2 linked regions of the Ovis aries genome follow. Each later gene encodes a partner of the first gene's protein in a complex. Links are inferred from orthologs where the notes say so. Each region holds a gene or a part of one and is shown in the gene's direction. Other genes may lie near its edges. The genes, in order: MKI67 and NIFK.

Region 1 (4,251 bases):
AAAAAAAAACAACCTCTATTATTAAAAATTAGTGAAAGACTAGCATTATTGTATGTTTTTGCAAATCTCCGTGATACTGATTTAGTTTAAAAAAAAAGGCAAAAAAAGCCCACACACATACCCAAAAAACAACCAGCTGGATTCTCTCTTCTGCTTCTGCACCAGGGAAATGCCATCCTCCACATATAAGAAATGGCAGTGAAAAGGGCAAGGACTGTCTGTTATTACAAAAGTGGGTTTCCCTTTGCAAGGATCTCAGACCCGAGGGCTCCCAGATCAAGCTGTGAGAACAGCAGTTCCCGATCAAGGAAAACCAAGCTCCAAGGGTGAGCGTCCCCGGTTCCCTTCACAGCGTGATGGCCCGCGGCATCTCCTTTGGCCCGTCCGGTCACGCACATGGAGGAATCCCGTGGTTAATTATTTTACAGTTCATCCATTTTGTAGTGCATAAGGTTTACTCATTGAAAATTCTTCCTAACAGGAAAACACAGTAAATCTTAGAAAACCTAAATTAATGACAGTCAATAGCAAAGATTAAGAAAATTACGATTTCAAAGCCAAATACTTTATAGCCACCAAAAAGAAAGTAAAGAGGAAGACGTTGTCTACATCTTTATAAAGCAGTGAGTATAAGTACGGAGAAAAAGTGTATTTTACGATATTCCTCATGCCTTTTTAAAAACAAAAAAAGAGAATCGTGTGTATTACTGGGAAAAGACACAAAAGATGGCTTGTAACAATTGGTCATCTTTAGGGAAATAGAGGAACTTAAAAAAAAAACTGTAAACCTACCAGCAACGAGTAACATACTATGTACCATTGTTAACTGTGTTTGACCCTTAGAGAAAAGGAGGCAAGGTTTTCGCGGAGGTGGGACCCTGCTGCATTTCAGCAGGGTCTGCGCTGTAAGGGTGGAGGACCCTTAACGAGGTCGCCTTCCGCGAAGGCACGCGAACCAAGCCCGTCCGCCCAGCCCCGCGGAGCCCGCCCCCGCGGAGCCCGCCCCCGCGGAGCCCGCCCCGCCCTGCGCAGCCCTAACCCTGCCCCAGCCTCGCCCCTCCATTCCCATTGGTCTGTGTCTGAGCCGGGAGGCCGCCCCCGCCCCGCGCAGCCCTAACCCTCTCGTTTGCCCGCCCCTCCACTCCCATTGGTCTGTCTCTACGCCACTGCGCCCAATCGCTGCGCTTAGCGCCAAATTTGAATCGATGTTATCATTTGAATCGAGAGGGCGCCGCGGCGGCTTTTCGCGCCCGAGCCGCTACCGCCGGGCGCCTCCGGGACGTGGCTGGGCTGGGCCATCCGGCCGCCTGCGAGGACGAGGGGCGAGGGCGGGGGGTGGAGCGGGGACCGCAGCCGCGGCGGAGGTGGGCGCGAGTCTGCGGGCTGAGGCCCGGTCGGTCCCTGCGGCGCGGGCCGGGAGGCGGACGCAGGTGGACTGGTCCCCTGCTCCTCCCGGGGCCGACGCGAGGTGCGCGCCGCGGGGTGGTGGATCGATCCCCTGGCGTCGGCGCTGGAGACTCATCCCGGGTGAGCCGCGGCCAGGGCCCTTCGGGGTGCGGGGGCAGCTGGCGGGGCCCCGGGGGGGCCGCGTGGACCACTCGGGACTCTGCGGGCACAGGCGCCCTGGGCCGGGCCCTGCTCGTTCTCAGCGCTCGCGTGGAGTCTCGGCGGGAACCTCCCCGGGAGCCGCGACCCTGGTGGGCGCCGTCCTGGCCGCAGGTCTGTGAGGGGGGCACCGAGTTGTGGGGGGACAGCCCGGGACCAGCCTGGGGCTTCCACAGCGGTCAGTATAAAGTGTGGGTCGGGGCGGCCGGGGCATTGGTGAAGCGACCCCCTTGGTCACTTACAAGTGCCTTCTTAGCGCTTTGCTTTAGGGTAACCTCCGGCTCCCCACGTGTTTTATTTTTGTTATTTCCTTCAGTGACCTGTAAGTCCGCTTCAGCAAACGTTTTGATGTCTGACCTTCCCGTCGGGGATTATACTCAAATTCTTGTTTAGAAAATGGGTCCTACAAGACGCCTGGTTACCATCAAAAGGAGCGGGGTGGATGGTCCTCACTTTCCGCTGAGCCTCCGCACCTGCGTGTTTGGAAGGTGAGCCCTGCCCTTGCGCGGACAATTGACATAATTTGGCTTTAAAACCCCCTCAGTGTTACTAACCACAGGTTGACAGATGGGACGCTCAGCTCCAGGAGTAGAGGAGCCCTTGGGTTTGCTCAGGATTGCCTATGTACTGTCAATGTGACTGGCTGACTCATGTGAAATAGAATTTTGAGGATGATGTTTATATAATTGTGTGTGTGTTTAATCAAAGATTTAAAAATTGGTTTGATAAAAATCTATAATTGGAGAAAAATGTAAAGGATTCTCAAATCCTGCTTGACTTCAGGCAGGCTTTCGAAGGCCGCTGTGCTCATCTGAAAACTCTCTGAACTGAGCATTCCTTGGCTGCTGGGGGTTACTATTGAACAAATAAGGAAGGGATCTGTGTTGGCTTGTTGGTCTTTCTGGGAAAAAAGCGGGAATGGGAAGAAGAGTCTTTCCGATTGTGTTTTGAGAACTTTTCTTTGGGTGCCTTCCTGTGTTGTTGGTGGCAGTAACTGTGGTCCGTGTATAAACAGGAACTGTTAATCATACCCAGCTCTCGTCTTCTAAAAGTGATGGGTAAGTTACCCTCCCTGTAGAACCCTGTGTGGTGGAACCCTGCCCCCCTCCCACCCACACTCCATCCTCCTACCAGTCATCCTGCACCCACGTTCCACCACAGGGCAAACTCTGGCTCACCTTGGTGCTGTTAGCCAGTTGGCGCTTCTGTCTCTGGGGTTTGCTCTCTACCCTCCTACATGAGCGATTCATGTACCCTGAGAAGAAGACTTCACTGAGCACTGCTCTTTTTCTTCCTAACCCGCACGTGGTAATGAGGCTGCAGTTTGTCCGTTTCACTCCTAAGGTCCCAAGAGCAGAAACTGTCTTGTTAATAATTATGTAGCTGGTGTCTGGTATGGGGTCTGGTGTATCAGAGGTGGTTACTGTCTGGCACGCCAACAATTGTCCTGTTGAAACATCAGCTGGAGAATCGGGTTTGGAGTCAGTATGTAGCAGTGGTTGTCAGCTGAGAGCCATATGACCCCCAGGAGATACCTGGCAAAGTCTGGAGACATTTTTTCATGTCACGATGTGGGAGCCCCACATCACCGACGTCAGGGAGCAGAGGTCAGTTTTGCTGCCAGTCCTACCATGTACAGGACGGCTGCCCCTACAAAGAGCTGTCTGGCTGGGATGTCAGGGGCCGAGGTGGAGAACCACTGCTCTGTAGTGATTCTCGCTGGCAGTCTCCTGCCTAACATTCTCATTTCTAATGAGATAATCTTTCTCTCATTCCTCAAAATCAAAATCTTTTCATTGACTTAGAGTAGCTGTTCACTTTCCATAACTTCTACTCTCTTCAGAAGGAAAAGACAAAACAAAAAATTTCAGTATCAAATGGCAGGCATTCTTTCATTACTGTAGTGATTAAGTGTCTTTTTATGCAAGATTATTTAATCTAGAAACCCATTTGTAGTGTTTGATTGTGTGACACGGGGAGGAAGGGCTACACTAAGGCTCCAGAGGTTCCTGTTGAGAACAGAGGAGTCACGGTCTGTTCAAACATGTTAAACCTAGGATGGTACCAGGGGCACCAGAGGCCCAGGGAGCCTTGCTAAGGCATCTTCGACCAGCTTCTCAGTGGTCTGGGGATTTCTCTCCTGCGGTGCTTGCTGCTGATGTCAGCTTCCTGTGAAAAGACAGGTTGCATCTAGATAACTGGTTTTTGTTGCTTGTGTTTAGTGTCTGGAGTGAGAGGAGACTTGTGACTTTGTCAGTTAATAGTGCAGTTTTAAAACAATCAAAAGGTCACAAGTTGTGAGCATTTACTGCGTGCCCAGCAAGTGACAGACCTGGGTAACTCATTTAATTGTGTGCACAGCACCATGATGTCGGTGCCAATGGAGTCCGCTTGGTATATGAAGAAACTGAGGCACAGAGAGGTCCTAACATGAAATACAGCACTTTTGGAGATGATTAAACCTTTAAACATACATAGCATTACCAACAAACATGTGTAAATCTTTTTATTAAAAAAAAAAGCAGAGTCCAAAAAATAATTATTCTCCAAACTGATGTGAAGTACTCCTTTATCTGGGTCTCATAATTATAAGCATAAATAGTTTAGCAAAAGGAAATTTAGTTTTGTATTCTAATATTTTCCATT
Region 2 (3,809 bases), on another chromosome or scaffold:
CCTAGATTGGGAAGATCCCCTGAAGAAGGAAATGGCAACCCACTCTAGCATTCTTGGCTGGAAAATCCCATGAACAGTAGAGCCTGGCAGGCTACAGTCCATGGTGTTGCAGGAGTCAGACACAGCTAATGTACATTATTTAATGACATTTTAGGAGTTTGATGGCACATTAGAATGTAATTGTTCTGCTTTTTGTGGTGGATTTGTCATTGCAGACTGGAAATAGCAAAGGCTACGGCTTTGTGGAGTTTGAATCTGAAGATGTTGCCAAAATAGCTGCTGAAACAATGAACAACTACCTTTTTGGTGAAAGACTCTTGAAGTGTAAGTACCCAATTCTTAGCCTGTGGGATTTCAGGGATGCTCCTGCTGACAGTGGCTGTGGTGGGAGGTTGCTTAGCTGTTCGGACGTCCCACCTCATCCCTGGGATGAGTCTCCTAAGCAGTGGTGCAACAATTTAAGTACATTTTCAAGATAGATTTGAACTGGAATTTTAAGATTTCCAGAGTGAGAGCTGTTTTCTGCTGAGACGGAGTTGGAACAGTTTCCTTGAGGAGTAAATAGGAAGGGCTTCCTGGTGGGGTATGGGAGGCTTCCCTGAGGAAGAGTCATTAAAGTTGGAACCTGAAGGTTAAATAACCGCCAGGTGAAGGGGTGGAACTGAGAATTTGGTGGGGGCACAGCAAACGCCAAACCAGTGACAAACGTAATTGCTTGCAAGGAGCATAGCGAGAGATGAGGGAGGAGAAATAGACGAGTGAGGTCAGGTTACCGGAAGCCATGTAAAGCACAGTTTAGAATACATGCCGAGGACAGCGGAAACCACTAATGGTCCTGGACAGAATGATGTTCAGGGTGAGGAGTCACGTGTCAGCCAGTCTTCGTGGCCTTGGCTGCAGCTCCTCTGCAGAGAAACCATCGGAAGGGCAAGGGTGACAGTAGCAGACGTTCATCCTGCAGGAGGTGGAGCTCCCACCTACCCGCCTCCCCAGAGCAGCCCATCCGGAGCCAGCACCCAGGTCACACCTCTTCATCTTAGTTCCTATTGCTGTGAGAGGGGTCAGGAGCCCCCTGAGATCCTGGGTGTTATTTGCACATGAAAAATGTGGCTCTTGCCAGGACGAAGTGGGTGATTGGGTGACCACATGTATGAGATCCCTGCTGTGCTCCACCTGACTTCTGAAGGATGGCACAAACAGTTCCGAACTCTGATACGAGGTGTTAGCCACATCCCCACCTTTTTTTTTTTTTTTCAGGGGAGTAGTTTGTCTTGGAGGTGATCCCGGGGAAATACTTGTAAGGAGTGGAGATTTGACAGGGAGGAAGGAAGTCAGTAAAGGGTATGTTAGCAAGCAGGTTATTTAGGCATTTGGGCCCCTTCCTGCTGGCCACCTTGGGAAACAGAATTATCCCAGCTGACAAGCATAGAAACTGGGATATTTGTGTACCATATATCACTGGTGGAGGGTAGATCCTAGGGATTTTGGCTTCCCTGCATAAGGGGCCCAGTATGCATCCCTAAGCAGAGAGATACAGATAAGCAGTGAGCTGCCTTAGTCCTGGGCAGGTGCCTGGAGGATATGAGCTGGAAGGTAAGAGCTTCTGCTGTCATGAGTCACGCAGTCTAAGAGTGGGAGTCCTTTTAGCTTCAGGAACCCTAAGACTTAATTTCCACACTCTCCTCTGTGCACTCGTCTTGTTCACTCGTGTATCTCTAGTCCTGGAGTCGTCGTTGGCACACAGTGAGTGAGTGGTAGATAATTGTGGGCTGTCTGACTTGCCCTTGGGGACCTGCTTTATTCTTTCAGGCTGCTCCATGTAAGTGGGGGACACATCAATTTGATTATGCTACAAGTGACACAAGGTGACACGGGACAGTCTGAAGTTCTCATTAAAAGCCTTTCCCTCCTACTCGGTTGAGAACTTTCTTTTTCTTTTTTTAATTGTAGGCCATGTTATACCACCTGAAAAGGTACATGAAGAACTTTTTAGAGAGTGGCATATGCCATTTAAAAGGCCATCATATCCAGCAGTGAAACGGTACAATCAGGATCGGTCACTTGTTCAAAAGCTACGGATGGAGGAGCGGTTTAAAAAGAAGGAAAAATTACTCAGAAAGAGATTGGCTAAAAAGGGGATTGATTATGATTTCCCTTCATTGGTGAGTATTCCTTTGTATAAAATGTCTAACCCAGTATCTCCCCCTACGAGGTTTTGACTGGTTTTTTGAAACTGCAGTCATTGTAGGCTTGTCTTTGTAGGTTTGTCAAGCTGTCCTAGTATTTCCTGTTACACTACACGGGGAGGAAATCCTGAAAGGGATTAAACCAATTTGCAACACGTACCTGATTTAGCAGTTTTAGATGATTGAATCAGTGAAACCTTACTTGACCGAAAACCATAATGCTTATAGATTACTAATAAAGGTGTCATTGCCAGGATTAAATGTTTGGTTTATTGTATGTTACCAGTAAATACCAAGACTGTAAAGTGACCATCCTTTTTATGCCATTTTAGTTAAAATTTTGTTTCATGGTCCTTTTAAATTGGAAATAGTCCTAAAAGTCTATGTCAGAATTAACTAATAAGTATATGTATAATAATCTAATGGTAAGTTTTAAAATATACATAAGTGAGACAGCTAGTTTTACAGCTTCTTTTTCTATTACTTTATGCTTGTTTAGGTTAAGGTATTACATAAAAATGAGGAAAATGCTTCAAACACTGGTCCTCGAAATTCCAGAAAGCACCAGGTAAAACTTTCGCTTATCATATTACCCACTTGATATTAGAGAAAGAGAAATGGGGAAGTCCATCCAGGACTACTGTGTCTAGTCAACACGCAGATTGATGTAGTCTCTTAAAATTTATTGAAGGCTTTACGTAAGAAGAAGAAAGCCGCTTCAGTCACTCCTAAGACTCCTGAGAAGGCTGTGGATAGCCAGGTAAGATTGTCTTCAGTATTCTGGGGATCCGGTATTACAGTTTAAAGGAGGACAGGCAGTTGCTGCTACTGTCACTTTGCTTGCTCAGTCTTGTGACGAAGTGTGATAAGCACCTAAGCGCTTGATCATGTGCAGCTATATCATCAAATGATGGAAACAGGCCTAAAATAATACGCGTAACTTACAAAAAAATAGAGGAGAGGTAGTGGGAGAGGGTCATTCCTAATATCTTCCCACATTTATATGTTATAATCTTTCACTTGAATCCAGGGTCCCACACCAGTTTGTACACCAACATTTTTGGAGAAACGAAAATCTGAAGTGGCTAAAATGAATGATGATGATAAAGATAATGAAATAGTTTTCAAACATCCTGTATCTGGTGTAAAAGAAGAAACACAGGAGACTCAACCACCTGCAAGTTCAAAGAAAAAAAGACGAAGAAAACACAATCAGTGATTTTTTTTTTTAATGTATTGTGTATAGTTCTTCTGAAAAGATGATTTTATTATGAAGACTAATTCTGTATATTTAAGTAGATATAGTGGAATGTAACCAGTAACAAGCTAGTTGGGAAAAAACTGTCAGTTCAAGTCACTGAGGAAAGCAGTGATTCTGGCTTCCCTGCCCTCGCTGAGATGCACACCAGTTTACAGCAGCTGGGCTCCCACTGCCTCTTGTCCTGCCTCTAGTTTTCTTAGCGGTTTTCACAGCTGCTTTTAGTTACTCTGCCTGGAGAGAAGATCACTATTAACTGCCGATTTAAGCACTAAACTGTAACTTTGTTGTTACCATCAAATAAAGAAAATCTTGCTTGACCATCAAAATAGTTCTCTGTTAGACCAAGCACATTTAACCCATCA

The links.
Region 2: the proteins of MKI67 (region 1) and NIFK are in contact, whole or in part, in an NMR structure (PDB 2AFF), measured with the Homo sapiens proteins. The link is inferred for Ovis aries from reciprocal best matches to the Homo sapiens genes MKI67 and NIFK. Residues at the interface, in NP_002408.3 of Homo sapiens: Thr9, Ile10, Lys11, Arg12, Ser13, Pro18, His19, Phe20, Pro21, Ser23, Leu24, Arg31, Gly32, Ile33, Glu34, Cys35, Asp36, Ile37, Arg38, Ile39, Gln40, Leu41, Pro42, Val43, Val44, Ser45, Lys46, Thr66, Asn67, Ile91; in NP_115766.3 of Homo sapiens: Val228, Asp229, Ser230, Gln231, Gly232, Pro233, Thr234, Pro235, Val236, Cys237, Phe241, Leu242, Arg245, Gln248, Val249, Leu252, Asp256, Lys257, Asp259, Glu260, Ile261, Val262, Phe263, Lys264, Gln265, Pro266, Ile267.

Annotation. Positions count from the first base shown.
Region 1 is NC_056075.1:47,020,798-47,025,048, reverse strand, and holds the start of MKI67 (proliferation marker protein Ki-67), read left to right. Parts: upstream 1-1,210; 5' UTR 1,211-1,527; intron 1,528-1,921; 5' UTR 1,922-2,001; coding exon 2,002-2,093; intron 2,094-4,251. UniProt on the Homo sapiens protein: Protein that associates with the surface of mitotic chromosomes and acts both as a chromosome repellent during early mitosis and chromosome attractant during late mitosis.
Region 2 is NC_056055.1:186,964,654-186,968,462, reverse strand, and holds the end of NIFK (MKI67 FHA domain-interacting nucleolar phosphoprotein), read left to right. Parts: intron 1-215; coding exon 216-324; intron 325-1,950; coding exon 1,951-2,162; intron 2,163-2,685; coding exon 2,686-2,754; intron 2,755-2,877; coding exon 2,878-2,946; intron 2,947-3,216; coding exon 3,217-3,405; 3' UTR 3,406-3,773; downstream 3,774-3,809.